4 linked regions of the Astyanax mexicanus genome follow. The protein of the gene in region 4 binds, or shares a complex with, the protein of the main gene of each other region. Links are inferred from orthologs where the notes say so. Each region holds a gene or a part of one and is shown on either strand. Other genes may lie near its edges.

The links.
Region 1: the proteins of f2 (region 4) and si:ch211-132p1.2 are in contact, whole or in part, in a crystal structure (PDB 2PV9), measured with the Mus musculus proteins. The link is inferred for Astyanax mexicanus from reciprocal best matches to the Homo sapiens genes F2 and F2RL3. Residues at the interface, in NP_034298.1 of Mus musculus: Glu385, Leu386, Leu387, Cys388, His403, Tyr407, Trp410, Asp411, Arg428, Arg453, Glu454, Asn455, Leu456, Trp501, Gly502, Asn503, Trp508, Thr510, Gln516, Arg538, Ile539, Asp559, Ala560, Cys561, Glu562, Gly563, Asp564, Val585, Ser586, Trp587; in NP_032001.2 of Mus musculus: Asp54, Lys55, Pro56, Asn57, Pro58, Arg59, Gly60, Tyr61, Pro62, Gly63, Lys64, Cys66, Asn68, Asp69, Ser70.
Region 2: the proteins of f2 (region 4) and serpine2 are in contact, whole or in part, in a crystal structure (PDB 4DY7), measured with the Homo sapiens proteins. The link is inferred for Astyanax mexicanus from reciprocal best matches to the Homo sapiens genes F2 and SERPINE2. Residues at the interface, in NP_000497.1 of Homo sapiens: His406, Tyr410, Pro412, Trp413, Trp455, Arg456, Glu457, Asn458, Leu459, Glu509, Thr510, Ile542, Asp562, Ala563, Cys564, Glu565, Trp590, Gly591, Glu592, Gly593, Cys594; in NP_006207.1 of Homo sapiens: Val225, Arg288, Ser355, Ala356, Thr358, Thr359, Ala360, Leu362, Ile363, Ala364, Arg365, Ser366, Ser367.
Region 3: the proteins of f2 (region 4) and serpind1 are in contact, whole or in part, in a crystal structure (PDB 1JMO), measured with the Homo sapiens proteins. The link is inferred for Astyanax mexicanus from reciprocal best matches to the Homo sapiens genes F2 and SERPIND1. Residues at the interface, in NP_000497.1 of Homo sapiens: Lys384, Ser385, Pro386, Gln387, Leu389, Leu390, Cys391, His406, Cys407, Tyr410, Pro412, Trp413, Asp414, Lys415, Leu423, Arg425, Ser430, Thr432, Arg433, Tyr434, Lys440, Ile441, Ser442, Met443, Asn458, Leu459, Lys470, Trp511, Ala513, Asn514; in NP_000176.2 of Homo sapiens: Glu75, Asp76, Asp77, Asp78, Tyr79, Leu80, Leu82, Ile85, Phe86, Asp89, Asp91, Val305, Glu306, Met307, Thr308, His309, Gln327, Asp343, His361, Lys362, Arg388, Thr457, Val458, Gly459, Phe460, Met461, Pro462, Leu463, Ser464, Thr465.

What each region holds. Positions count from the first base shown.
Region 1 is NC_064417.1:33,611,861-33,619,371, forward strand, and holds the start of si:ch211-132p1.2 (proteinase-activated receptor 4), read left to right. Parts: upstream 1-4,499; 5' UTR 4,500-4,679; coding exon 4,680-4,803; intron 4,804-7,511. UniProt on the Homo sapiens protein: Receptor for activated thrombin or trypsin coupled to G proteins that stimulate phosphoinositide hydrolysis. May play a role in platelets activation.
Region 2 is NC_064425.1:38,394,522-38,402,419, reverse strand, and holds the start of serpine2 (glia-derived nexin), read left to right. Parts: upstream 1-4,880; 5' UTR 4,881-5,054; intron 5,055-7,898. UniProt on the Homo sapiens protein: Serine protease inhibitor with activity toward thrombin, trypsin, and urokinase. Promotes neurite extension by inhibiting thrombin. Binds heparin.
Region 3 is NC_064419.1:52,602-60,393, reverse strand, and holds the start of serpind1 (heparin cofactor 2), read left to right. Parts: upstream 1-4,790; 5' UTR 4,791-4,868; intron 4,869-6,626; 5' UTR 6,627-6,628; coding exon 6,629-7,562; intron 7,563-7,792. UniProt on the Homo sapiens protein: Thrombin inhibitor activated by the glycosaminoglycans, heparin or dermatan sulfate. In the presence of the latter, HC-II becomes the predominant thrombin inhibitor in place of antithrombin III (AT-III).
Region 4 is NC_064430.1:14,447,534-14,455,441, forward strand, and holds the start of f2 (prothrombin), read left to right. Parts: upstream 1-4,903; 5' UTR 4,904-5,001; coding exon 5,002-5,077; intron 5,078-5,193; coding exon 5,194-5,351; intron 5,352-5,662; coding exon 5,663-5,687; intron 5,688-6,252; coding exon 6,253-6,324; intron 6,325-7,054; coding exon 7,055-7,160; intron 7,161-7,369; coding exon 7,370-7,500; intron 7,501-7,908. Other genes in the region: znf408 (zinc finger protein 408), read left to right, coding at 1-84, 1,317-3,136. UniProt on the Homo sapiens protein: Thrombin, which cleaves bonds after Arg and Lys, converts fibrinogen to fibrin and activates factors V, VII, VIII, XIII, and, in complex with thrombomodulin, protein C. Functions in blood homeostasis, inflammation and wound healing.

The sequences.
Region 1 (7,511 bases), on a different chromosome or scaffold from region 4:
GATTGCAGCACGCATTCACTTTGGCATTGTTTCGATAAGCTTCTGCAATGTCACAAGATTTATTTCAATCCAGTGTTGCATTCATTTTTCACCAAGATCTTGCAGCATTGATAAAGGTAGAGTCTGACCACTGCACAAAGCCTTCTCCAACACATCCCAAATATTCTCAATGGGGTTAAGATCTGGACTCTGTGGTGAACAATCCATGTGTAAAAATAATGATCTCATGCTTCCTGAACCACCCTTTCACAATTCCAGCCCGATGAATCTTGAAATTATCATCTTGGAATATCACATTTATTTCACAGTCCAGCAGAAGTATTGTGGCATGTGAAAAGAAAAGATCCACACCAGGCAGCATAGTTATTTTAAGGAAGCTTTTTATTAGGTTTACTGCACACTAGAAATGAGGAAGCTTTGTAAAATAATGTCTGAAATTCCTAAACACTTCACATGATTATTTGATCATTTTTTACCCTTTAATTAAACTTGAAACTTCGATTGCACATCATTTGTTTCATTTCATATCCAGTGTGGTGGCATGCAGAGCATGTACAGATACATTCACATACATGCATATATTCTACGAACACATCGAATTTGTCACGTTATTATTTTCCTTCTCGAAATGACAGGGTGGTCTCAGTCAGGTCGTGTACTAACTCTGCAGTAAAGGAAAGAGAAGCCTGACATCTAGTGGTCATTGTGTGCAATTAATCCTATAGATTTTACAGAAAACCAACAGAATGGTGGTCTCATCCACTGCACCACACCAACCACGTGTTTATTCGCTGTGAAAATACGTTCTTGTACAGTAAACTGTCAAGCGTTTTTTTATTTTTCTTCAGAACGATACAATGGAAAAAAAACTGCAGTTGCAACACAAATTAATATCTGGACACGTTTTGTAAAGAAACAAAAATACTCAACAAAAATATATTCAGATATCATTTATAATCAGATGATAACATTTAACATTTCTATTGACTAATTTCAGTACCTAACGTGTTTTAATAGAAGACAGGGGCTATTTAAGGCACCAAGATTCCATAGTTGACATCATGATGGTGAGGGCTTAATTATTATTTTTTTAATTCCAAAAACAACAAATCGAATAATAAAACAGCAAAACATGCTAAACAAGACTACAGCTACATTTCCATTCTTGTTAACAAAATACAAATACTAAATATAAATCACAGGCACAGCAAAGAATAATGGGAGCACGTATGTGACTGTATGGGTAAGTGTTTTTTGCTTGTGAACATTTATGAAAAAAGATTTTCTATAATTTGATTTATAAAAAAGGTTTTGTAATGTGTGTGTGTGACAGAATGTGTTTAATAATGCACCTCATAACAAGGTTCACCGCTTAAAGTTGCTCAAAGTGTAGACAAACATTTTTGGATAATGAACAAAACTCAAACACACCCAACGTGTCCATGATCCATGGTTTAATGTTTTTACAGATATCACACACATTGAATAAAGATGGAAGCTATTTGATGGATCAAGTTTCCACAGTTTATATCATTATGGTGAGGGTTAATTTATTTTTTTTGTAATTCCTAAAACAACAAACCAAACAAAATAAAATGCATATTAAACTACAAACTAAGACAGAATATCCTGCTCAACAAAACTAAAGCAAAAAATAATTTCTTAGTAAATATAAATCACAGGCATAACTCTAGATTTTTAAGGATTAAATAAATGGGGACACAAATAATTCAGCAAAGAGCCGTTAGAGGGCGCTGGCCACTTAATATTTCCAGTTCTGGCCTGTTGCTGTTGAAGTTCTTTGTTCTTTGAAATGGTGATGGCTTTGCTTTGTGTGTAGTGGTGTTTTTACCCATTTTTCCTCCTGCCAAAGAATGCATATCATCACCGTCACTCAAAAAGTGTGAATCTCCATTTTGGTGACCTCAGACAATGTGTTGCATACACAAAAATATTGGTTAAAATCACTTTTATAATCACTTTTAAAATCTGTACAATGTAACTCTGGTAAATCATCAATGTCTTGTAGGGCCTGCATTAGGATTAATAGCCAAATAATTTATCTACATTACATCACTGCAACATCTCACTGTTTGTAACAGAGGATAAATAATTGGCAATTGGACATTTTAATTTAGATAATTTGTGGTGTGTTATAAAAGGTTTAAGAACTATTTATCTAGATATAGATAACATACAATCAAATAAAGAAATAGGACACCTATTGAAATCATTTGTCTTTTTAAACATATTAAATATTTTGACTTTTATCTTTAGGTAAACAATACTGACAGAATATAATTGAAGGCATAATTAGGCATAATTTTTATAATATAATAAATAGAACCATACTTTTCTTGTGAGGAACAACTTATGACAAGTCCACTTTTATAACTACTTAAAATGCTGAAGAAAGTGTAAATGAGAATCAGCTATTATTATATATTAATAATTAACTATTATTATATATGTGTTCTATATTTTCTTGTCTATTTTCATACACAAGGCGCACCGGATTATATAAGGCACATTTTAAGCGACAATAGTAAGGAATACGGGTGTTGCCATGTTTTCCTTCTAATTCAGCTGGTCTTGCCGATGGGGGCACCTAAGTAAACAAAAATGTAATTCTTAAGAAATAAAAACAATTCTTTCTCAGTTAAACGAGCACTGGATATTAATCTCACAGATTTCTCTCCTGAAAACAGTTTATTTGGGTGAGTAAATTTACTTATAGTAAGCTTAGATTTACAGTATTTTAGCCTAGTTAGTAGCAGCACTAGCCACGATTAGCAGTAGTGCTTAGCGCTGGTAAATGCCTCCCGACAGTGCCACACTGAGGGACCCTGTGTGTTCCGCATTGCTTGGTTTAACACGGTAAACACGCAAGCTACAGTCCGATACACTCACCTCTGAAGAACAAAAGAACTAGCGCTGTGATTAGCGCCTAATGCTAATTCTGCTCCAGCTGCTGGTGAAACTTCACTGAAACTCCTGTTTAACACTATCCTTCAGTGGAGTGGCTTTACTGCTCCTTATAACATGACTGGTATAATTCATACATAAAGCACACCGGATTATAAGGCGCACTGATAATTGTTGCCAAAATGAAAGGGTATTAAGTGCGCTTCATAGTAGGAAAAATACGATAATTCATTACGTAGTATAGTATAGTCCAAATGTATTAATAACGGTGTAACACAGTGTCAGAGAACACATGATTAGCACTTCTAGATATGTTTTTTAATGTGTGGAAAAGCTGATCTGACCAGTGGAAATGACCACAGCTTCACACTTCCATTACCCTGACCATCAACACCCCCGCCAGGGGTGCAGTCTCACTTCCTCATAGACGACTAGCAATAAATAACCCTAATGAGCTACTTCCTTCCACCAACACTCTCTTACTGTGCTAACAACTGCCGTATTTACCTTTTCCTGATTCACACAGAACAGCACAGTTATGTGTGTGTATGTGTGTGTGCGGAATTTTTTGCCATAATTTATTAGGTTACAGAGGTGCACATTCTGAATATTTCTAGTACAAGTAAGTTGGTGTTCTAAACTATTTTTGATTAAAGTGCATACGCACACATCAACTTATATATTGAAATGTAATGATGATATATTAGAGAAATTACAGTATTATAATAAGAGGATAGTTTATTGAGGACAACTGTACAAATGAAAAGAGCCTATAGTACACTGTTGGAGCCTGTAGCCTGGATACAAGATGAGATACAGTTGGCCATGAAGATATACAGGTTCCATATGACATCCTGCAGCACATTTATAAACAGATGTTGCAGCTGGGCCTGTAGATCCTACTCTACACTCATAGGTTGCTGGAGCTGCCATCCCAGCTCCTCCCATAAATCCTTGATTGGTGATAAATCTGTAGAGGGGACAGAACAAGGACATTCCTGGGAAACATTTGCTGTGTTTGGATAAGCAGTTGAAAACCCTGTCATGAGAGGCAACACATGTGGCCACAGGATGTTCTGCACATATCATTGAGCTGTTAGTGTCCCTAAGGTTTCTTATCACTCTGTTTATCATTTATATATATATATATATATATATATGTTTCAGTAAAATTACCATTGTTGTTTTATTCTATAAATTACGGACATTTCTCCCAAATTCCAAATAAAAATATTGTAATTTATATATTTGTAAATATATTTGTAAATATTGCATTTATTTGCAGAAAATAGCATGTTCTCTTCCATCAGTCTTACACACTGCTTTTGGATAATTTTATGCCACTCCTGGTGCAATAATTCAAGCAGGTCAGCTTGGTTTGATGGCTTGTGATCATCCATCTTCCTTTTGATTATATTCCAGAGGTTTTCAATTTGGTATTAAGTGGTCTAATATTTTTTCCATGGCTGTATATATACTATACAAAAATGGCTAATATAGTGCCATTAAACTAGATAAAGACACACACACACACACTGCATGTTTCATACCCTGAAAGGAAGCAGGGCGGAGAGAAGGCATGCGAAAGTGCACACACACATACACACACACACATTGAAACTCCAGAAGCAGACCTGAAAGCAGAATAAGAGGACTGGAAATCAAACAGGTTTCACGTTTCTCAGCGGACCTTCTGAAAATTGCACTGGACTTCAGCCTTCAGGAACCCTGACCCGTTCTCTAGAACTTCAGAGATGCTCTCTCTCAGCAGAACTGCTCTATCTGTTCGTCCTAATCTCCTGGTTCTTCTCCTGGTTCTCCTCTCGCTCTGCACGGCCTCATCTCAGGCTTCAAGAAACTTCACCGGTGGACCTGCCCGTAAGTGTCTTCAGCTCATCCCAGAATAGGACATGGACTAGCTTAATGCATTGGACTGAAAATGTACACTGTTCTAAGGAACCTTTAAAGGTTCTTCAGTTTGAAAGTGTATAGGAGGAAACCCTTAATCCAGCTAACCTATCTTTGCATTAGAGGTTTTTTTAAAAGTTACAATTAAAGTTAATAAAGTGTCAATCTAGTTTTATGAATGTTCTTAGAACGTATATTTTGTATTTATTTATTTTATTATTTTATAATTATTTTATAATAACATTACTGCAACATCAGTTTTGTATTTAGTTGCTAAATGTTCTTTTAATGTTCTGTTCTGGAAAGGTATTAAACCTTTAAAAAAATGTTTTAGAACAATATTTTTTCCTGATGGTTGCTTAAAGCAATTCAAAGGGTTCCTCCTTCACATTTTCAAATTGAAGAACCTCTAAATGTTCCTCAAGGATCAAACAATTTTAACAACTTAAAGGAACCTTTAAAAAATGTTTTTAGAAGAATAATTTTAACAGTGTACAGTACACAGAACCAACAGTTCTGTACACTACGTGAGCAGCCATTTAAAGGGTTAAAGAGGCTTCACATGAAGTTATGTAAGGTGTAAATGGTTTGGAAATATTTTGCTGTAGGACATTGTTAATAATGTTACATAACATCAACATAAGTGCTTTGATAACTGACATAACCATATTTCTGGAGATGAATAGGCAGTCCAATATAAACTGTTAGAAAACTGTAAAAACTTTATTAACTATGACAAATGAAAAAATAAATAGTATTATTCTAATTTTCTATGTTTAAACTGAGCCTCAAATGATTAAAAAGTAAGTTTTAAAGTGTTTGATTTTTCAAGTTTAATCTCTAAGTTAAAATACAGCTTGACCTCAGGGGTAATCTTTGGCAGTGTAGTTTTGCAGTGTTTATTCATAGGGGTCGAGAAGCATGATTCAGCTCTCCTGGTTTTGATCCACTGTCACTGCGTTGTTGCAGTTTGGAGCAACACTTTGAACTTACTTGATTTAGGCAGATTTTACCTTATATGCACACTGAACAGATAATTCAGCCTCCCAAACCCACACTCACCAATACTGTGTAGTCTTTCCCATAAGGACTTTCCTCCCCAGTGTATTCAGTTTTATTTAATGGAATGTTTGTGGGGCTTTGAGTAGTCCAGCGGGCTAAGCGCTACCACTATGATCAGGAGATCTCATGATCAGTTCGATGATCAGTTCGAATCCTGTTCATGTAGCTTACCATCAGCTACCGGAGTCCTGAGAGAGCACAGTTGGCCTTGCTCTCTCTGGGTGGGTAGATGGCGCTCTCTCCCCACATCACTACAAAAGGGTGACGTGGATCAGCACAAGGCATCTGTGAGCTGATGTATCGGAACCGAGTTGCTCAGTTTTTCTTCCGAATGTGCTGTGAGGTGGGAGAGGCGGTGGCTGGCTTTACATGTATCAGAGGAGGCATGTGCTAGTCTTCACTCTCCTGTGAAATGTGTTGGGGCATCACTAGTGAAAGGGGGAGTCTTAGTGGGTGGGTTGAGTAATTGGCTGTGTAAATTGAGGAGAAAATGGGATAAAAAAATATATGTAATGTTTAACTGCCTGGCCACAGCTTCAATGTTTTCTCACAGTTCCTGCCGATTTTACAGTAGGGGTGGAAAACACAGATAGTGTGACATGTCTGCATCACAAGACCTAAATTAATTAATTACACTTATTCAAAAAGGTGTGAAATGCTATTGGATGCTCTATCAACACTCCACCCCATCACAAAATCTGTAGGAACTGTGTTCGAGAATATTGTGGAATAAGTTGAATGGGATGGATATGAGAGAAATCCATTAGGAACCTCTACAACTCTGTGCTGAGACACCTGGCATGTTGCTGCATTAAACATGCGCGTTACACACTACTTCTGTATGTGTAGCTCAATAAATATTACCCATATCAGTTTAAATCAGTTTTATTTAATTTTTGCTCTTAGTAACTTTTCTCTTCCTTCTGAACAGCATTAAAATCCCTCACTTCCTACTGGGTGCAGCTATTTTAAAGAGTTTAAAGGGTTAAAGCTCATGTGTCTTCATGACTCACTGGTACAGGCAGTAAGTTGCTTAATCATGTGGGAAAGTAAGCACTGCCAGTTTGCTGAATGAAGACAGACAGTGTGAGTATAAACTGGGGTAAGGGATTAGACCTGGTTGGTGAACTGAGTTGAAGCAGGAAATCTGCAGGCACCAGGAATGTGGGGAGTGCCTCTGGAAAAATTGGGAACACATGTGTCTTTCAGAACAGAGTCAACTCATGTGAAAACACGTGAAAAAACACAGCCAAAAGGAAGATCAATTTACCACTGAAGAAAGTGTATATTAAATAATACTCAACTAATACTCAACTGCATATAAGACCCTTCAATACAAGTCAAGATCATGATCACCATTGCACCTGGCAGCGTCGCTGTCAAAACATACAAAAAATACAACTTTCCATTGACCACACCAAAAATAATAACCATGGAACATTTTTAAAAAGTATGTTACAATGTAAAAAATATATATTTATTATAATAAAAAAGAAGGTTACAAATTTGATCTAAACATACTAAGTAAGCATTTATGTTATCTTAGAACTACTTACCTATGATTATTACACCCTGTGTCTAACACAGTTCCTGTTTGCAGTCATTTGTTTCCAGGC
Region 2 (7,898 bases), on a different chromosome or scaffold from region 4:
TGCACATGCTCAGTCCCCAGGCGCAAGTATAACCAAGATGGCAGCTTTTACTTCAGCCATCTTTTGGCTTTAAACCTTTGCAGTGGAAATGAACAGAAACACTTTCTTTACTTGTAGAAAACTATAGTTCACATTATGCACAATTTTAATTTGTTTTGAATTTGATCTTTTTATAATTCACATTTTTTTTATTTAAAAAAATATTTATTTTCACTTGAAACATTGTCAGTTTACTTTGTACTATTTAAGTTCACTGGATTTTGGGCCATTTCATATTATATCCATGTAGAAAAGAGACAGATGAATATACTTTTTTCCATTTTTTCCATTATCTTTTTTTTTTATTTTTTACAATATATATATATATATTTTTTTTTACTATTTCCATTTTTTAGAATATACATTCTTCTATTTTTACAATATACATGTATTTGATTTTTTTAACAATATATGTTTTATACAATATGCACTTTTTTATTACAATATACAAAAAAACACCTAATTTTTGTACCTTTTAAGTTCACTGGATGTTTTAACATTTCAGGTCATATCCTGAAACTCCTGAATATCCGAAACTTTTAATAATCTAAAGACCTAAACGGAAAATTTGAACTATGTAATGTACAATTCAGTTTAAATGTATTTATCAAACGCTTTATGTGTGCAGGCTTTAAATAATTTAGCAAATATTTTATGAACAAATTGTGCATAAATGCACCCCAGGTATGATTAATATTTAAAATTATTATGTAATTTATACTACTATCCAAAACTACTTCAATAAAGGGTGATTTAAAAAAAGAAGCAATATCTGACCCAAATGTTAACCCCCACAAATATACACAAAGTTACCACAGGGAAAAGGGACAGTATTTTATTTAATTATTGGAGTAAGAAGGTCATGGTTTTGTTGTTTTATAAGGTGGTAATGTGTCATCACGCTTTTGGAACAGCACTGTACTCTTTCTGTTTGCAGTTGCAGAGAATCAGAGAAAACCGCTGTTATACTTCAGTTCATGCTGTTTTCACTCTGTTGCTGTTTTGGTGTGTCTAAAAACCTATATTTAGAGAATGGTTTTATGCGTAATTAGAATTTCGTCATTCTGGCTGGGTGTGCTTTTCCTGTTTACAAAAGACAAAGGTTTTTCCTACAGTACAGTCCGGATGACAGCTGACTTTCATTAACACGGGCCTGAACTAAAATGGGAATGCCCAGCTATTACACACTCTGCCGTATAAATAAGTGATATCAAATATTTAAGAATGTTTTATTATTTAATGTTATTTCATGTTAATATTTGACTTTTGTGTGATGTAGACAGTCTGAATTCAATAAATTGCAAGTTTTATCTGCCCAACTTTTTTCATTTATTATTAATATACAGTACTTGTCAAAGCTTTGGGCACACCTTCTCATTCAGTGTTTTTCTTTATTTTATTTGTATTGTATTTATTTTCTACATAGTGGATTAATATTAAAGACATGAAAACAATTACGGGACAAATAAGGAATTACATATTAAACAGTAAAAAAAAGTGTTTGTCCTCCACAATCCCCTGATCTAAACTGATCAACTGAGATGGGTGAATTGTATTGTTCAGCACCTCCAGGAACTCCTTCAAGATGCTGGGAAAAATATTCCAGGTGATTCTCCCTCATGAAGACACTGAGAATAAAATACCAAGAGTGCAGATCTGTCCTCAAAAATAAATGTGCTACTTAGAAGAACCTGCAGTATAAAACATATTCTGGTTTGTTTAACACATTGTCTAATTCCACAAGTGTTTCTGTATAGCTTTAATGTCTTTAATATTAAATTGATACTGTAAATCTTCTTGTAAATGTATCATCTTCTGTGCTTTTGTTCCACTTTAAATTTTGTCACTATATTTAGACTATATTTTCCACCTTAAATGTTGATATATTCCCACAATCACCAGTGCCACCATAATGCTGTTGTCATATTCACATAATCAGATTATTTCCACTTTATATGCTGCCACTAGTATAACACAATCACACTTATTCCATCTTAAATGCTACCGCTATATTAAGACAATCACACCAACACCAGTTTATGTAATGTTTTTGTTCCACCTTAAACAGCAAAGCTGTTACAGGTGCATGGACTAAACCTTTAAGGTGATAAGAAGCTGAAAGCTGGAGAATAAACAGCTGTGCTGGCTTCTTTTTCTTCTATTCCACCATAAGTGCTGCTGCTGTTACATTAAATAGTGTTTGACAACTGCATATTAGAATTTTCTGTTCCACCTTAAACAGTAAAGGTGTGAAGGAGCTGTTCTATTTCTGTTATAGTTATTCCACCTTAAATTGTACACCTGCCTGGTTAAACGTGTCAATATTGGCATGTATTTCGAACATGAATCTCTGGCAGGTTAAAGTAGGAACTATGTGAGGAGAAGTGTAGAGGCAGTACATGACTGTAATTATTATACCTCTCCTATATCATCTTAATTACATTTAACTATATCTACTATATATAGCTTCAGAAATTCTCACATTTTGGCTCACAAAGTTCAGGTAGGAGGTTCAGAATCTTGCTTAGGGCCCTACGGAAGTGCAGACTGGCACTGGAGGAGCCTTAGGTTAACTTCTCTGGGCTTGGAGGCATCTGGGATGGACCATCACACAGTGGAATTGAACACCATGGTCGGATAAATCAGCATTTTAGAAGAAATTCATCCAGAGAAAAAACATCCAGACTGTTATCAGCAACATGTGGAACATGTGCAACATGGTCTGTCATGCTATGGGGTGGGCCAGTACATTTCTGTGATGCAGCATTAATGCTGATAAAAACACACAGAGATATATTAAGGCTCATGATGTTTGGAAATGCCTAATATATTAAATTCAATGCTAAACAGGGTCATTTTTATTAAGAGTTAGAAATGCAATGATTGGTGCTGCAGTGTAGTATTTCAAAGTGTTTGACAGGGAAGCACCTCACTCTGCTCAGTTTAATGGAATTATTTCAAGGCACTGTAAATGTTTATATACAATGTGAATGCAAGGCCTCTACTTAACACTGGCTGCACTGCAGTTTGTCTAGTAAGTGTGATGTTTTGACAGTAAAAGTCCAGTTTGTGTAAGTTGCACTGCAGTGTAGTTACTTCATGTAATGCAGATGGTTTGTTCCAGTCAATGCTCTTTATTAATTACTTCATTCCTATGTTTAACTCTGCCTTCTTTTGATATAGCAAAATATTATTTAAAATGTTTGAAAATTATTTTTGGGGCATCGAAGGAAAGATGAGAAAATGTTCTTGTGTCATGAAAATACTGTGCTAGGATAATGGCCTGTGCTGAGAGTGTGATTTAAGCTCATTTATTATGCCTAATCAAATAAATGTGATCCTTTTAAAGGCTCTCCAAACTTAGTGCTCATCCCCAATTGGTAGGTGCTGAGATTTTTTATGTTTTACTTCTTAAAGGTTTACTTTTTTTTACTTCTTCAAAAAAATGCACAAGAAGCTTATTAAAAACCACTGTTTACTTCCTGTGCTGCTAGCTTTAAGCTCCATGCGCCACCATCATTGTACTGATATGATAGACATATATACATAAATTCTGCATAGCCTGCCTCCAGTGTTGTGCGTGAACGAGTTCAAAAGAAAGCGTTCATTGAACACGCTCATTTTTTTGTGAACATTGAACTGAACGCAACACATTTTTTAATAAAGAACTTGAACGTGAATTAGTTCACATTATGTGTCATGAACGGCAGACATCCCTGTAAATGAACGTTAGCTAGAGAGCAGAGCGAGAGAGAGAGAGAGAGAGAGAGAGAGAGAGGGCAAAAGAGAGAGAGAGAGAGAGAGAGAGAGAGAGAGAAAGACAGAGAGCGGAGCGCGAGGGCGAGAGAGAGAAAGAGCACGGGGCGAGAGCGAGAGAGAGAGAAAGAGAGAGAGAGACCAACGGCGAGAGCGTGCGGCGCGAGGGCAAGAGAGAGAGAGATACAGAGAGAGAGAGAGAGAGAGAGAGAGAGACCAATGACTGTAGTGAGAGAAAGCGCTGCAATTTAAAAAAAAATGGCTAGTGGAAGTGATGGCACGGAGACAGTCACCGATTCCTTATGAACATTTTCATCACCTGGTAAGAAACCCACATTGCAGTATCATGAGCAAATGTCTACAATGAGCAGTTTCAAAGAACATATAGTGATTCCTAGCTTGTAGTGTGAAAAAAGTTTTTTTTTTTTATATCTCACGAAAAAAGTAAAATGAACTAAACTTTGAACTAGTTCAGAATTAAAATTGTGAACTTTGAATGTGAACTGTTCACTTTGAGCATGTATGAAATGAACTTGAACTAGTTTAGAAAAGCTGTGAACTGGAACAACACTGCCTGCCTCCTGGTGCCGGATGCTACGATATGCGGAATCTATGTATATATGTCTGTCATTATCAGTACAATGATGGCGGCGCACGAAGCTGAAAGCTAGCGGCACAGGATGTAAACAGTGGTGTTTAATAAGCTTCTTGTGCACTTTTTAAGTTATTAATGCCTTGTCAGGGCTCTAGACAGGTGGTGTTAAGTTACTTTGAGCTTGGATAACTATGTAAAAAGCGATTTATCAGGGCAAATTATGCCCTAATATGGGCAAAAAGTACAAAATTACTGGATCCCAGAAAGCTGTGGGAGAGCGATGGTGAGCTACTCGATAAAGGTAAATACTTTTTATCATGTTTTGCTTCACCAAAAGTCCTTTTACACAGAAGTGTAAGTGTAAAATCTTACCGCAGTGTGTGGAGTATCCGCGCGCTCAGATTCAGCTACTGTGGGCGGAGCCGCAGCTCTCGGGGGGCGGGGCCATTCGGTCAGACCCCGACCAAAATAAACCGGGAGGCGGCTCCAAAATAACGCGCAGTCTGGAGAGCAGATCCAGCGCCTTATTACACACTCATACACTCACACACACCCTCTCACACACACCACATATATACTCACACACACACCAACTCACTAACTCACACTTACACGCCCTCTGGGAGCAGCAGTGTACCGTCTGCCTGTTTTCCTCCAGAAGAAGGTAGGAGCGCTTCAGTGGAACAGTTTTTTATACTGAATTATTTGCTTGTTTAACAGTGTAAATGCTCTAAACTGTTTTTACGTGGCTCGTGGATGCTTCTTGTGGTGCGAGTTGCCTGGAGGGTTAAACAGAGTTAACTGTAGGGTATAAGCAGTTGTTCTGGTGGTGTATTGTACTGTAAGGGCAGACTGTTTATGTCTGTTTATGAGTGTTATAGAGAACACTGTGTTTACTAAAGTGGGATTTTATACACACACTTGATATAAAATATAAGAACTTTAAGGGTCTCTATAACCTGTTTACTGTAATTATGAGTATTGCTACTACTACTACACTGCTGAAATAAACAGCATGGCTAGTTAAAGCTGGTTGAGCCAGATGATCAAATCAAATTACATTATGTACATATTTATATAGCTCTTTTTACAACTGATGTTGTCACAAAGCAGCTTTACAGAAATGTGGTAGTAAGGAAAATCAGAAAAAAGAGCAACAGAGGCAAGGAAAAACTCCCTCAGAGCTGGAGGAGGAAGAAACCTTGGCAGGAACCAAGACTTACATGGGCCTTGTACTATCACATATTATTAAGGGTAATTTATATAAGGAGGGACCCATCCTGTTCTGGTCAGACAGCTTATAAATGAATGTTAAAAGAAGTCAATAAACATCCAGGGGGTGAAGTTGTTAGAAAATTCCTAATTAGAGTTCATATGAACTTTGATGTAATCATTAGTGAAGAAGAGTGAGCAACTAGTTTGAGGCAGGTGACATAACCTGGACGGTGGGCACTTCCAGAGACTTCCATCTATCTGGCCATACAGGTGACATGAGAATCTGAGGGTCGAACATTCATTAGTATGTCAATGAACCACTGAATCTGCAGCCTTTGAGGAAGAGGAAACATTAATCTCCAAAAGCTAAACTAATCAGGTATGATTTCAGTCTAGATTTGAGATTAAAGATTGAGACTGTGTCTGAGTCCAGAACATTTTTGGGAAGGTTATTACAGAGCTGAGGGACTTTATAAGAGAATTTTTTTCTCATGCAGAACTCCTCTAAAATTTTAAAACTACTAGTAAACCAGCACCATGTCTGAGTTATTGTGCGAGTTTAGGAATTACCAGCTTAGCTCTTGACCAGTATAGGGTATGTTGGATTTGAACCTGGTCAAGCTAAAACTAGCTAGATAACCAGTTTGAAGAAGCATAGATAAGCATGACCAACATCAAATTCAGCATACCCTCTGCTGGTCAAGTACTGGTAACTATCTAGATTATCAGTATAGGGTAGAGATGGGACCAATATGCAGTGTTGCAATATATTATATCGCCTGCAGTGAAGAATGTTGGCTGTTAAATTCTGTGACACTAATAAATCAATAATTCCTGGTATACGATTATTAAGGAGTATTTTATCCTCTTCAGTAACACAGATGCTGCAAAGTATCGCAGAGAATTGTCTTGTAATATTATATCGAATATCACAGAATCACAGTATTACGATAATATTGTATCATGAGATGCCATGAGATTCCCACCTCTAGTATAAGATGGAAATACAGACTCAGCATATTAAACAAATGCATGACCTGGAAAATGTTTTTCTGGTATATGTATACATACATTGTAATCATAATGTGAAAATGTGCCATAGTCGCATTGCGGGACATGCAATATAAAGTAAGATACATTTTATTAGATGCAGAGTTTTTTTGCTGCTTGATGCAAAAGGAGAAATTGCTCTCTCAATATTGATACATACATGATACAGCTACCAAAAGGTATGTATTATATCTGCCCAAAATAATAATTTGTACTCCATTCTTTTATAAACAAAGTGCATTTTTAACATTTTGACATTTTAGATTATTGACTCCTGTCAATCCTGTACATTTTTGGTAAAAAATATTGTATTTATTTTAATATAGCAATATATATCACAAAATAGAAGACTTTTGCAATGTCAGTTTTTTGCAATACCCTGCAATATTGCTTCTTTAACTATAAATAAATGTCTCTCTCTGTGTCTCTCTTACACACACACACACACACAGCTGAATAAATTCCACAGCTGCACGGCAGTGTGACAAGAAACCCAATAGCCAAAAAAGGGGGTAATGTCCAGAAAAGTGTGTATGTGTGTGTGTGTGTGTGTGTGTATGTGTGTGTGTCATTGGATTTCTTTTGTAGGTAGTTGTTGGGTGGCTGCTGTAGACCAAAGTCTGAAAAGAAAGCGGTGGGGAGAGAGAAAGTGCTTCCAGGAATAATAATGAGGAGAGATAGAGAGAGAGAAAGAAAGATAGAGAGAGAATGTGTGTGTGTGTGTGTGTGTGTGAGAGAAAGAGAGACAGTATAAAAGTAAGAGGTAGAGAGATATTCAGAGAGACAGAAAGAAAATGTGAAAGAGAATAAAAGAGAGAGAGAAAGTTTGTGTCTGTGAGAGTGTGTGAAAGAGAGAGAATGTGAGAGAGTGTAAGAAAGAGACAGAATAAGAGTGAAAGTGAGAGAGATTCAGAGCGAGAGAGAAAGAGTGAAACAGAATAAGAAAGAGAGAGTAAGCACAGAAGAAAGGAGAGAAGAAAAGTAGACTCACATCGTGGATGAGGGAAGTGTCCTTCTCAGAGGGGGCGGGGCTTTATTGCTCTTTATTAGACGGGTTTATTGCTCTCAGACAGAGGCTAATTGAATAGCTGTGAATAGACTGTGACCTCAGCAGGGAAAGAGAGTGTGTGTTTGGGAGAGATTGGACGGCGCTGTGGGTTTGGGAGGGTTTAGACTGTGTTAGTCAGAGGACACAGGGTTGCAGGGATTGTTTAGTTAAAGGGAAAACCTGTGGCTGAGGTTT
Region 3 (7,792 bases), on a different chromosome or scaffold from region 4:
CCAGCTCGGTGATGTCATCATACAGGGAGGGGGAGAGGATTCCAGTGGTAAACTGTGCAGCTCTGATGAACTTCACGCCCAAGACGGTTAGAGAGCAGAATTCAGAACCCACCCATTTAAAATAATAAAAACTTCTGAATACTTCCTCTTTTTCTGTTCTATTTCCAAGCACTAAAAAGTTGTATCTGTGAAGATCACAGTTAAACCCTGGAATATTTATTTAATAAGTTTTAGTGGCAGAAGTAACGTATGTGGTGCGAGTCTCACCCCGAGAGTCATGCTCTGCCGATTGTAGCCGGCAAAGTTAAGGATGCTCTCAGTGGCCATCGCCAAACCAGTGTGCTGAGAAAGACCAGAAACCCAGTTCTGATGCTTATTTAGGTACTCCTGAGATAAAGAGAGAGAGAGAGAGAGAGAGAGAGAGAGAGAGAGAGAGAGAGAGAGAGAGAGAATGTAAAAATGAGTGAGAACTAAATGTATTGCCTTTTTATATCCGAGTATAAACAGTAAGAAAGTGTTTTAGGTTCAGGTGCCGCAGTGTGAACAGGCAAACTGTACCTGTAGGTGAGATTTGGTAACAGACGACGCCCACTTCATCGCTTCTTTCAAAATTTCACCACAGCGTGCAGCAAAGTCCTTTACTATACTCTAATAAAACACGACAGCAGAAAAAAATATTATTTTTATATAACTGTTACATTCTTATACATGCATACAGTATAGATATACAGTACTGTGATGAAAATCTAATCTAGCCATGAGATCCAGATTAAATCAGCACAACATTGGGGATATAGATCAGAACTTTGACTGGATCATTCTAACACATGAATATTCTCTGATTTAAATAATTCCACTGTAGCTCTGGCTGTATGTTTAGGGTCATCGTCTTGCTGGAAGGTCTCAAGTCTTTTACAACAGCTTTTCTTCTTCCAGGATTGTTCTGTGATTATCTCCGTCCTCAGGGTGAGTAAATTAAACTGAGGGAAGGACAGTTGTCAGGTTTGGTTGCTAAAACCCACACAGCTCAAATAAGAAGATTCTGAATCTCTGCATAAGTTTAATGCAAAAAGTCTTTGAATTCATGCGTTGTTCTGATTTGTCTTTTATTCTATTTTTTTCTCACCTCTCGAGCTTCATGTGTGTCCGGTACTGTAATTCTGTGAGGAGTATCAGGAATGTCATAATAAGGCTGGTCCTTGTGAATATCCTGTTCAACAAAGAACAAGAACCAACATTTAAAAAATACTTAAATACAATATTTAAAATATAAACATGTTTTCACAGTTTTAGTTTCAGAGACCCTCACCGCACTCAGAGACAGAGACAGTGTCTGCAAAATGTCCAACATAGTCTTCAGAACTCGTCCGCTCCACAGCAGGTGAGGAAACCTAAATAAATAAATAAAATAAATAAAGTATGAAACAAAGCCTGTTTAATAAATTCACTGATTCAGATTTTTTTATGAGGAGACGCACGTTTCAGCCAATCCTGAAAGATACTTGTCAGCCACTCGTCGAATTCTCTTGTGGGTGTGGTTAAAGTTGACCAGTAAGAACTGTGCGTGGCGTTCCAGCTCCTCCTCATGCTCTTTAGTTTTTGGCTATAAAACAAAAAGACACTTTACTAAAATATATAATAATAAAATACAACCTCCTGCAGATGCTAATACAGTTAGGCCCATAAATTAAAAATACATTTTGTAATTAAAGTTCAGACTTTCAGGAGTTTTTAGGAACTACAACCATTTTTCTATAAAAAAAATCATTTCAGGAGTTCAAAAGTAATTGTACAACTAATTTCAGAAGCTGTTTTATGGGCTTCCTGGTCCATTCCCTAATTAATCCATCATCAGTTAAGAGTTTATTTCAGGTGTGTTATTTTTATTTGGAAGCTGTTGCTGTAAACCGACAACATGCAGTTAAAGACGCACCAATGCAAGAGAAACAGATTATTAAACTGATAAAAGAAGAATTAAAAAATAACATGATCTCAGCAAAATGACTTTATTACTCTGCCATATTAAAATTAACCTGTGGTTAATACCAGTAAGAAAAACATATTCCAGGTAATTAGCATTTTTATATTAATTCATAATTCAATCAAATCATATTTATTTATATACTTTTTGTATACTGATGATGTCACAAAGCAGCTTTACTGAACAAAGAATCCGAGAAAACACTAAATATATAATAAAAAACCTCCAGTGAGGGACGGATAACCTGAGCTCACCTTTTCTGCCATCATCTGGAGAAACACCTCAAACACTTTGTCGCCAACACAGATCACACACTGCATCATCCCTACAGTCCAGGAGAATCGCAGAGAAACACAGAGATCAAATACAGTGTTTTTATATTAAAGATTAAAGATAAAACTGCTCTCTTTTCTTCTGACCTGACTTGTCCTTCTGTATGGCCTTGTCCTCAAAATATCTGAACATCACCTGGAACCTGTCCGCATCGTTCGAATGCAGCATCCTGAAGCAGAAAGTTCAGAAAAATTATCCAAGTTGTGGGAACAATTAGTAGTTGATCAATTAAAACCAGAAATCTATTATATGAGTTTTATCATTTAATTAGTCAGATTTTGCTTCTTCTGTTTATTTGTTATATGATACATTTAACTGAAATCGCTGATCCAAACAACCAATGATTTATAAGGAAAATCATGAAAATGATCAGGAGTTCCCAAACATTTCATACCACTGTAAATATTATGGGATGCCCTGTGACCCCTGACTCTAATAATCAGGTGATTTACATGTGAGAAACTCTACAGTAGTGTAGTACCTCATGTACTCCAGTCTGTAGACGGACAGCAGGTAGGTGCACATGGCGAAGTCCAGTTTGTTAATGAGAGCCGCAGCTTCCGGCGCCGGATCCAACAGATTAATTATGGTGCTGCGCAGATCGTTCAGCTCCGCCTACAGAAAAGCCATTCAAAAACAGATACTGAAATTGTAATAAACCAGAAACTGGTTTACTTAAGGGGTTTAGATACAACACCCATATATTTAAGGATTAACACATTTTAACTTGAGGCTTCAGTGGTACAGTAAAAATAATGTTTTTATACATAAAGAAAAAAAATCATTTTAACAGGTAAATCATGTTTTTGGAACTTTTTTTAAGGATTTGGAATTTACACTTTAATCTAACAAATACTTCATCAGTATTGACTGACAATCTTGACTGATAAAAAAACTGTAAATGAGAAAAAACTTTTCTAGCAGCACCTGAAAAAAGTATTAAAAAAAGATAATTTATAGAGTTATGACGAGATCGCGTACTGCGAAATTAAATCAGCACATTATTCTCATCAGGTGTAAAATGAGTCTAATGAGACCCACACACCAAAACACAACACAGAGATGCAGCCATGACCGATAGGGGTTGCCAGTTTAAAACAGAACCCTCACTGGGGGGATTCTAACAAGGGCTGAAAAGACTGATGGGTTTATATGATATATAATTCAGAATCTAATACAACCTGCAGTTGGTGAATTTTAATCATATATTTTAAATGAAAAAATCTCGTCTCATTCTCATGAACCCAACGTATTATTTTGTCTCGTCTTGTGAGCTGAGTGTCTCGTCACACCTCTAGTTATTCACCATTTTTTATCTTATGGAGAATTACACTTTCTATTGCTTTATTTCTTTGCTACAGTGTGGATCTATCAAAACCTGACTTTTAAATAATAAGTGATTTTGGAAAAACTTTTACAGGGAAATTGATGCATAAGCTCATATTACGGGTAAATTTAGCCCCTGATGAAGTTCAGGGCACCTGAGTCACAGTGTCGTTCTTCAGGGCGGAGTTGTACTGAAGCTCGGAGCGTAGCGGCTCTCCGCTGGGGAACGTGAGCAGCGGCGACTTCGTAGCAATTTCACAAACCCCCTCATACCACTCCTCAGGCCACAGTCCTACATTACACAAATTATTCCATAAATTCATAAATTCTCATTCATATATAAAACAATATATAATAATAATATATATATATAAACTAAATAACTGCAGTCTGGAGAGTATAGTGTTCTGATCTTCTTACCGGAACCTTCTACAGCGAAGCCCATGACCACCGAGTAAAGCCAAAAATCCCTGAACAGCTTCTGAAGGCGGGGCTTAGCCTCTTTAATGGGGGGCAACCGCCGGGTCAACTGTAAAAAAAAAACACACAGACACATATCATACATCTATTTCTCACAATACATATATTAATCAAGCAAAACATTATGACCACCGGCTTCTTTCTCCACCAGTTATCCATTTTTCTGCTCCAGATAGGAAACTTGGTTGTCAGGTGTTGGTGTGTGTGTATCATGGTGGTGGTGTAAAAAACACACACACACACACACAATAACACCTCATACACCATGCTTATCACTGCAGTGCTGAGAATAACTACATACCACCCAAATAATAATAACATTAATGATAATAATTAAAATAAATAAATAATAATAAAAGCTGTATCTCTGTAGTGGTTTTCTATTCTGTAAATTCTGAGTTTTAAAGAAAAAAAATAAATATACAGAGAAACACAAAAACAACAACAGTCTGGAGTTATTATACAACTACAGAGTGAAATATATGATATATAAGTGGATAATGCAAGTTATGCTTGGATAAATGTTATTCTTGATTGGTGTCGGTTTATGCTAAATGGTTAAAAATGTGATTTATCAGCTGTGTGCAGTGAAGGAGTTAAAGCAGGGATGGTGGGGATAAAGCTATGGGTGCTGCTACTCTTTGAACTGGACAGTGTTTGATCAATGAAAGCCAACGTCAAAGTCCAAAAGTAGGATTTGGTCACAAACAAACGGAGTACACAGACAGATTGATCAGAGAGACAGCAGGTAAGTGGGAGAGGGATTTTTTTGTTGCTGTGATATTTTGTCTTATTTCCATTGTTTTACACAGTTTATTTAAAATATAAACGCAAATTATAACTGCCTTATTAAAAAAACTTTACATTCACTCTACAATTGTGTTCATAAGTTTACATACCCTGGCAGAATTAGTGATTTTTGCTCATTTCTCAGAGAATAGAAATAATAATAATACATAAACTTTTATGAAGTGGGAGTTTTGGCATGCTAACACACACAGGTTGACACACATGGGTTAAAATGACGGCTAATGGTAACTTTAGCCACGGAGAAAGCATAAGAATTATAGCATCTGCAGAAGAATATTTTATATTCTTATAATATATATATATATTATAAGAATATATATATATATATATACATATAAAGCAGGAAAATGATATAGTATTAGGAATGTTAATCAGCAGTGTTTAAACTCTAAATACTTAATGAAGTGGAAAATGTGGGATGGTGTTGAAACCAAGTCAGGCAGATCAACAAAACGTTTAGTCACAGCTGCCAGGAAAATAATTCAGGATGCAAAAAACCCAGATAACAAATAAATCAGCTAACATACAGGACTCTCTGAGAAAGAGCTCTGTTTCAGCGTGACCAATAGGAAACATGGGCCGCAGGGTCGAGTCGCCGGAAGAAAGCCATTACTACACCAATTCCAGCTCGCTTACAATAAACTCACCTGGAACTGAGCCTCAACATTTCAAACCAACCATAAACATTACAGAGGAGCCAAAAGTCCTGTTCAGGGCAGTTTTAAGACATTTGGGGGCCCCAAGCAAAATGGATCCCACCACATCAAATTCTTCATAAAATGTATATTTATATTTATTACACAGACTTACTACTTGTAACTTAACATATTAGATATGCATTCTGAATTCCCATACGCATGACGCTGCACGACCACATAATGAATACCGGCGTCTGAATGGGAATCGCGTTTAACACAGACGAGACGTGAGAAGCAGGACTACGTGATCCGTAGTGGTCAGTAGTGATGCCCTGTGTTTAAGCCCGTAAGGGAAAAGGCCTCGCGGACGGAAGAAGCGGTGGATGAACCGAATAAGAGAAGATATACGACACGCCAGCTTCGCCCCTGAAGACACTTTGGATCGAACCAAATGCGTCAGGCATCCAAACACAGACCCCTTTTCTCCGGCTGCTTTGTTCATCATTCTAACATACTCCCCCCCCCCCCCCCCGTGAAACCAGCAGTGAAATACAGATCTATAAAGGTATTTGTTAGCGTTGCTGGAGACGCATGAGCACGGCTGAGCTCGTGGCATTGCACCGCTGTCGTAAAAAATTAAATAACATTATAATAAATAGCGTCGGATAACGTTGAAGTGTAGTTCAAACAGAAAACACCATAACCACCATCTTTACTGAAATGTTATATTGTTGTTCGACCAATGGTGAAGTTAAATGTGCTGTGTTTCGAGTTCAGACAGAGCGCAGCTACAAATATGAATTCAAATCATAATCATTCGTCCCTACTCTATAACATGGAGGTGGATCATTAATGTTTTGCGGATGTCTGCGCTACAGAGGCACCTCTTACCATGAATAAATTAATATTTTCGGTATTATCATTCAAAGTCTCTGACAAATAGCCAGAAAATAACTTATTCTGGAAAAGGTAGGTGAACTTATGAGCACAACTGTGTGTGATGCAAAAATCTCAGTAACTGTCCTGTTATAAGTCTATTGTTTTCTGCATTTCCTCAGGGATGTGGGTTCTCTCAGTCGTTGCGCTAGGCTTTCTCCTAGCCACTCCAGCTCTAGGCGGGGTGAAGGACCTCAGTTCACACTTCAGCACTCAGGAGACGGAGAAAGATGGCAACAAGCCTGTGGATCCCCGAGGGTTTTCACAAGGAGGTGAAGACCTGAACATTGAGTCTATTCCTCTGGACTTCCATCGGGAGAACACGGTCACTAATGACCTGACCCTGGAGGGCTTGGAGGAGGAGGACTACATTGATTTTGATAAGATCCTGGCAGGAGGTGACGATGATTACACCGAAGGTGACGCCATAGATGAGATCTCCACTCCAGCACCAGGCCTTGATCTCATGTCTGAACCGTCAGACCCCAAAGTACGAAGGGCACGACTCCTGCGCCTCTTCCACAGTCGGACGAGGCTACAGCGCATCAACGTGGTCAATTCCCACTTCGGGTTCCGCCTCTACCGGAGTATCCGCAACCAAATGAACCAGACAGATAACATCCTGCTGGCCCCTGCTGGAATCTCCATCGCTATGGGAATGATGGCTTTAGGTACAGGTCCATCCACACATGAGCAGCTCTATCACGCACTGGGCTTCAACGAATTTGTTAATGCGAGCAGCCACTACGATAACTCCACCGTGCACAAACTCTTCCGAAAACTCACACATCGCCTCTTCAGGAGAAACTTCGGATACACCCTGCGCTCTGTAAATGACCTTTATGTGAAGAAGAACGTTAAGACCAAGGACGGCTTCCGCAGCGAGGCGAAAGCGTACTACTTCGCTGAGCCTCAATCGGTGGACTTCACAGACCCCAAGTTCCTTACGAAGGCAAACCAGCGCATTCAGAAGATTACCAAAGGGTTAATAAAGGAGCCACTGAAGAGTGTTGATCCCAACATGGTGGTAATGCTTCTAAACTACCTCTACTTTAAAGGTAAATCAAATAAAAAAATCAACTGGTTTAATTGACAGCCCCAATGAAAAAAGTCTAAAAACAACTGTAGGTGATCTGCCAAACTGAGAACCCTCTGAGTGCGTCACAATATTCTAATAATAATGTTTGAATAAGAGTCCCAGGCAGAACTTTAATGGAAGAATAGAGATTTGGGGAGGTTAACGCCAGCTGTTGGTGTAAAATAACAACCTTCTTAAACTTAATGGAAC
Region 4 (7,908 bases):
AAGAGAGCACACCATGTGGGCTGACTGAGGATAAAACCACATGCCCTGGCCCAATGGAACAAGACTCAAAAAGGGAATGTGAAGGTTCGTGCACAGTAGCTTTTAGAGGGACATGGCTTTTGGGTTTAATTTAACTTTGACTGTGTAAGCAAGGCAGCCATTAAGAAAATGCATTAAATTGGCCCATGAAATTGTGTGTTTAATTTAAAGACCATATTATGCCTCAGGCCTCACACACCTCTACATTTTGTTTTATACTGTGTTATATTGAAAGTATTTTTCATAGCAAATTATACAGAGTGCCACTCCTTAGTCACAGTGCCTGAGGACATTATTCACCGCATACTAGTGTGTGTTTTGTATTATTTTAATATATATATTTTTTTACCACAATTGGAGATTGCCTACCTGATGGATGCACGAAAGGATGAATTGCAATGAGAGCAGCCTCACTGAAAAATGAGTATGGCCTTGCTACATCACCAAGTAACTTGCTACATCATCCCAGCATCACACATAGGACATCAAAGATATTTTAAACAAGAAGGAAAAGCTTATAAAGGAATTATCTGTACCTACAGATATAAGGCCAATTTATACTTCTTGCAGCTACACTGCAGGCAACGCGTTAACTCAACGCAGAAGTATAAACCAGCCATTACATTATAATGGGATCAAACTAATAATAGAACTGCTAAATAAAAAATGGCCTACTTCCATCTACATTGTTCGTTTGCTTCAATTTCATTTTAAAAACTTTGCAGACATGTCCACAAGTTGCCAGCCAAAAAAAGTGGACATGTACCATAAGGCCGTGCCATAGTTGCCGTTTGACTAATTAGAATTAGTTTTGCTGTGTTGCTAAATCAGCACCAGGAAATGTACTGATTTCAGAGTTAGAAAAGAGCATGCTAGAAAGTTAGCTATGGATCTTGTAGCACAAGGTGACAGACAAATGTGGGGCCAGTCAGCAGATTTCATCATTAGGCCTTTCCAGTGGACGGTTGTTTTGCCCCAAGTATGGTAAGCTAGACACAGTAAAATAAAAAAAAGTTAAGCTCAGCCCAGTTTGTAGGAGTTCTATATGAAAAAGCCACTGGAATAGTTAACCTTCTCCATGCATAGACTTTTTGTCTATGTAGTGGAAAAGAGGCCTAGGCAAACCTTTCAGAACTGCTGTTAAGAGACGGAGAAAACATTTAAAAGAACAGTTCATAGAATTCTCCATGAATCGTAAAGAAACGGATCTTTTGTTCCCCTCCTAAGTTCAGACTGACGTTTTAACATGTATCACATATGCTTCGTGTATTTCACAGAATCAGTGGTGAAGGACCCTACTGACAACTCAGAAGAGGCTCAGAAAACAACACATCCTAACATTCAGAGGAAGAGGCCACTAATCTCAAGTGTAAAAAATAATCCTGTGCGCTCCTCTCAAACCGTGGAAACTGGTAATCTGGGACAGACTGCTTTGGATGACAAAACAGACAATGACCAGCAAGAAGCAGAGGATAAATCTAGTCCTGGGGTGCTGTGCAGCATCCGAGAATCCAATTCTCAGGAACAGCTTAAAGGAGCTGAGAGAGCCAGCCCTCGCCTGGCAGCTAAACCTCGCAAAGTCCACTCGCTAAGCAGGTGCATGCACAGGCGACAGCAAGCAAAGCTGACAAATGCGGCTTCTGCCTGTGTTGATAAAAAGATGCTGACTACAGAAACTAGCACTGGAAGTGGATCAGCTCTGGGAGAAAAAATCCTCACTGAAAATTCTAACTCTGATGAGAAGCAATCTGGTCTGGTATGGATAGAAAAGGAGGGTTCACCAGAACTCTTACGGTTCAGCCCACGAGAGCGGAACTACAAGTGTGACCTGTGTGCTAAAAGTTTCTTTCAGCTGTGTCACCTAAAGAAGCACAAGTTCACGCACTCCGAGCTGAAGCCTTATGCTTGCACAGAGTGCGACAAAACCTACAGCTCCCAGGAGAGTTACCGTGCACATTTGCTTATGCACCGTGGACAACGGCCTTTTAAGTGCCAGCAGTGTGACAGAAGCTACGGGCTCAAACGTGACCTCAAGGAGCACCAGGTGCTTCATACGGGTGAAAAACCCTTTGTTTGCGATGTTTGTGGCAAGGCTTTCGCACGCCGGCCTTCGCTGCGAATCCACAAGGAAATCCACAGAGCCAAAGAAGCGGACTACCAAGCACCAAAGATCAAATGCACTAAGTGTGGCAAAGAGCTGGCAAACCGGAGCTCCCTGAGGAATCACATGCGATTGCACACAGGCGAGCGGCCGTACGTCTGCTCCGACTGCGGCAAGAGCTTCCGCCAGCGCGGCAATCTGCAAAGCCACCTGCGCATTCACACTGGAGAAAAGCCATACAGGTGCAAGCACTGCGACCAAACCTTCTCGCAGGTGCCGGAGCTGCGTCGGCACCTCATTTCCCACACAGGTGAGGCATACCTGTGCCCAGTGTGTGGCAAGGCACTGCGCGACCCTCACACCTTGCGAGCCCATGAGCGCCTACACACTGGCGAAAGGCCTTACAAGTGCGAGCAGTGCGGAAAAGGGTACACGTTGGCCACTAAGCTGCGCAGGCATATGAAGTCCCACCTGGATGAGAAGCCACACAAGTGCGAGACATGTGGAACCAGATTTACGCTTATGCAGAGTCTACAGCGCCACCTACAGTCCCACCAGAAAATAACTAAGAAAGGACATGCAGCGCCAGCCAGGGGTAGACCTAAAAAGATGACTCCTAAAAAGAGAGGTGGACAGTCAGGTCATTGTCAAGGCAAGAAGAAAAAAGAAGAAGAGGAAGGTGTGGTTTATGTGCAAGCCCTAGCAGAGAACTGCAGAGAAGGTGCTGAAGTTTTTGAAGAAGGGCCAGAACAAATTGAGCTTAGTGAGGACATTGTAGAAATTGTTGTTTCAAATGGCAGCAACAAGTGTATCATGGTTCAGGAACTGGAAGCTAATGCTAAGTGCATTGTTTTACGGGAGGATGAAGAGAATAAGAAATGCATAATTGTACAAGAAGAGATTAATAATAATAGTACCCTGGTCATTATGCAGGACCATGATGATCCTAACTCAGTGGCAGAAACTGTTGAAATCGATTCAGCCACCCAAGACTGAACATGTTAAGCTCATTGTGACTATTAGTGTGTCATTTGATTTGAAGGTTATTTTGCAGTGGTAACATCTGCGTTAGAGACATCAGTAAATATTGACTTATCTGCCCACTGGACCTTGTCATCACTGTTTGTTCCAGATCTGAACAGGCACACTGCTGGTAACGAATATGTCAGGAACATGCTGATTATTGGTGATACTGTTATCTTATTATGAGTCAAATCATGTTTAAATTATATTTTTTAAGAAAAAATAACAATGATGAAATATTAAATTAGAGCTGGGGTGAAATATCATGATTAATATATTATGTCACAGTATTTAAAGTAGAGCTGGAGCCAAGAGATTTTGTCATATAGGTATACATTTTCTTATTGTATTGACAATATGCTTTTTTAAAGCATATCGAGGATATCATCAGTGGTTAAAGAGCATTGAGAAAAATGTGCATTACATTACAGAGAAACAACCCAGTTTGATTGGATGTAAAACTCTGTGTATTGTGAAAGTCTAGTATCATGGTATAATATTTTTTACCAAATAATCAGCGCTTGATTATTTACACCACGGGTGGTGGAATTTATACTGTTAATATTGATATCAGAATTATATCGCATTATAGAAATGAAGAAATTTAATGTGATATCAAGTAATTTAAAGACATTTTCAAAACATGCAACATTTATCACATCATTTGTCCCTATGTTTTGTCACAAAGACAAAAAGCATCAACATTGTCAGATTCTTGTATGTTAAATAACATTAAACAAATTGCAAATTCTTTCCATCTCTTCCTTGTGTGTAGTCCTTGTTTTACTGTAATGATGCTGCTGAAATCTAAATTTCCCTGAGGAAATCTTCCCAAGTGGATCCATAAAGATCTATCTATCAAGTACTGTTTCATGCATAGTAAAGTAATGTTTTTTTTTTTTGCTGGACAACATTTAAAACTAGTACAGTTGGGTCATTGTTCTTTGTCCTCTTCTTTTAAAAAGCCCAAAAAAAGTCAGACGATAAGAAATGCAATGAAATATTTTCATATTGCCCAACTCTATATTAACGTTTTATTTGAATTCCTATCTGAATTAACTGCTTATTGATGCAGCTTGAAACAGTCTAAGTACCACAGATCTTCAAGATGTGGTGGAGTCAGTAAAGAACATAGGCAGTGGATGATTTTAGAGTTGGATGGAGTTTTAGGGAGTCATGGAATTTTTGAAAACATTTCATTTGTCAAAGCTTAAATTGCTGCACCACCCACTGCACTGTCCACTGTGAATAATAATTCTTCATATGACATAATCCAGGTACACATATGACACTTTGGATTGAGAAATATTATGTCCCATCCATCTGGCACACACTATCAGGCCTCGCTCCAACACCAGTTATTCACATTGGCCATATTGCCATGAGCTCGATGGCCACTGCTCACTCTCACAAGATAACACCTCACAGCGTATACAGATGTGTGCATTCCCAAGCTGTCCACTGATATAATACTTTACATTTAATTTACATACTGCTATTCTATGATTTCATACAAATATAAGTCCATTTTGTTTAGGAAAATGACTGGTGACTGGTTTAGTATTATTATTTCATTCATATCATATTATGGGTTGATAATGAATGTTCCTAAGTGTCCTTAGATATTTCTAGAACATCAGGGCTGAATCATGAATCAGTGATCAGAGTGATATGAGCTTGCACACAATCTCTGTTTTCTGTTCTCTTTGAACTCCACTGGTTCAATATTAACTCGAGGGCAGCAGTGGAAGGTTTTTGGGGGCTTGCTAGCAGCTCTGTGGCTTTGTCTCCAGTGATGTTCCAGGTCTTTTCAGGATTCCAGTAGTCCCTGTAAAAGAATGGGAGCAGTACCAGCACCGATCCTTGTCACACTTCTTCTCAGCCAAGTGCTCCAGCTTACACTGTGCTATGATGGTGAGAAACCCATGTTAATACTTTTGGTATCAAATATATTGTATGTAAAATGGTGTGTCTATAGAGTTAATAGGTTTGTGGAGGTAGACGGTTAATCTTGTGTACGTTTTTGTCAGTTTTTATCGATAGTAAGAGGGCTTCTCAGGTTATCCGAGTAAGGAGAGCAAACACACTCTTAGAGGAGCTGAAGCAGGGAAATCTGGAGCGAGAGTGTGTGGAGGAGATCTGTAGCAATGAGGAGGCTCGAGAGGTGTTTGAGATAAGTGACAAAACGGTAAGGACTGCTGAATTCTGCTACATGATGTGACGTATGTAATCCTGTTTAAATTAAATACTTCTCAACATAACATTTGTAAGGTCACTTTCCCAGACAGGGATTTAATTAGTCTTAGACTAAGCCTTTCAAAAATATGTAGTCTACAACTTAATCCTCAAGCTTAATCCTTGTGGGAAAATTGCCTGTGTGTGGACACCATTATTGTTTACTGTCTTGTTTATTGCATTCATCGACATACCATTCCAGAAAGTGGTAGATTAATTTTGTTTTATTTAAACATTTTGTAAAATGGTTTCTCTTTCTTTTAGGTTCAGTTTTGGGAGAAATACTTAGGTAAGGCATTACACCACAAACTTCCCAGTAGGCAGCAAAGTCAGCAGTGACCACATTTTGAAATGTAAATATACATTATTGAACCAGGAGCAAAGTGCAGTGTTCCCCAGTGTTTTTTTTTCCTTCTGAGTAATTACCAAATCAAAGTCCTAAACTGGACTTTATTTAATCTAAGGGTTTCTAATGTCAGTCAAGAACAATACAAAAACGCAGTGTACTATTAGGCTTCCTGAGCATTTGTTAGTTGCAGTATTCCTTTAATGTGTGTGTATATTAGTTCCAGGCCAGTGATAATAAGCTATTGAAAAATGACACAGAAATGACAGAAATGTTATGTAAGGAACACTTTATATAAATAATGTTTATATTTCATAAAATTGAATGAAAATAAAGAAGTTTAATCTCATTACCATCTTTTTTATGGTTTTGTTAGCTTTAACTGTTTCTGGAACAATGTGATGGCAATAGTGAAAGTTCAGGAAACTCATTAAAACAGGGCAAGCATAAACATACCGTGATTATCTCAACACTGTTTAGATCTATTTTGTACTGCTTTCTTCCACAGCTTGTGATGGCAACACTTTGAAGAGGACTCCAGACAATATTTCGAAAGTAAGAACGTGTGTGAATAAAAAAGGTAAGGGCAACATTTCATAAAAAAAAATGCACCCATTGTATACAGATGGTTGTTATTCCCAGTTTGACCAGCCTGTTTTATAAGATTTAGAGATGGATTCAGCGTACAGCACATAATCTATGTTAAATTAATATATAAATAAATTAATTTCCTGTGGAGAATGAAAAGAGTATATTAGTATAAATAACTGTGTCAAAATATTAGTTCACACTTACATGTATGTAAAAAATGTAAACTCTGCATTCTGTAGTTTGTTTGTGGTGAGGACATGATTCGTCCTTGATTCAAACAACTACCAATGTTGCTGCAATTAAACTGTACAGATATACACTAGTCCAGAACACGCGAACCACGTTCCAGACTATTTACATAAACTATTTTCTAGATGGTTTTGACTTTTAGACCACAAATAGGAGGTCAAGGAAAGCTATATTTATCCATTCAACAACAGAAAAAGATCATAAACGATAATACAACAAAAATACAAGAATCAAAGGGAAATATATCTGTTAAGCTTATACTGCTGTATGAAACGTGCACACAATGGGAAGATGAGTCTGGGGAGATGCAGTCTGTGTATCAAATACATCAACATTGATTTGGAATCTGGTGTGAAGATGCTCTGAGATAAAGAAACATTGATGCTCTAAAATCTATAAAGGCAACTTCTACTACTTCAGTTAGTAGAGCCGTGTATTCATATATGTGTTGATCATTGTGTGCTGTACAGATCACTGCTATCTCAACACTGGTGAGCACTACAGTGGTGATGTTAACCTCACTATATCTGGAAAGACTTGTCAATACTGGAAAAGCAACTTCCCCCACAGAATCATGTATGTATAATTATTTCTCTAGACCTCTTGAGCTTCACAGCTGTAGTTGTCATTGATAAAACATGGAAATAGTATTCAAGGCATAAAGACTTGTATGTTTGAAAAACAGATTATATTTTCATTTCAAATTAAAGGTCAAAATGATTTGAGAAAACTGGAAGTGTGAAACAGTTTTTGATCCATTTTAATGCATTGTTTTTCCATTCCAGTGAGATTAATCAAACACAGCTGAAACTTCCTGAGAACTTCTGCAGGAATCCAGACAAGAGCCCTACTGGACCCTGGTGCTTCACCAGCGACCCCACTGTCAGGAGGGAGAAATGTGCAGTGGCAAAATGTGGTACTGACCTTAAAGCATGCTTCACTCAAAGCACTGAACACCCCAAACATAGATAATATAGCAAACTGTGAAGGGCTTCATCTGTTTCTTATATTAAGCTCAGTCTTGAGGCATTAAGTATATCAGTAGTTAGTCTTAGTCTAGAGTTTTCATTGAGAATTTTATTTAATAAATAATAAAACATTTAGTAATATTATATTTAAGTTCCTTTATTGGTTTTATAGCAGCCAGTGATGTTTTGAAACTTAATATTATGCTGCTTTCCATTTACCGTTTACTGTATTGGGATGTATAGCTAAAAATGACCTTACACCCTGGTTGACTGGGTTCCAATTAAACCTTTAGATAATTTCTATTTCAAAGACTTTGGTGTAGAAGTTAAACAGTACTGTGTGTACAATTGATAAA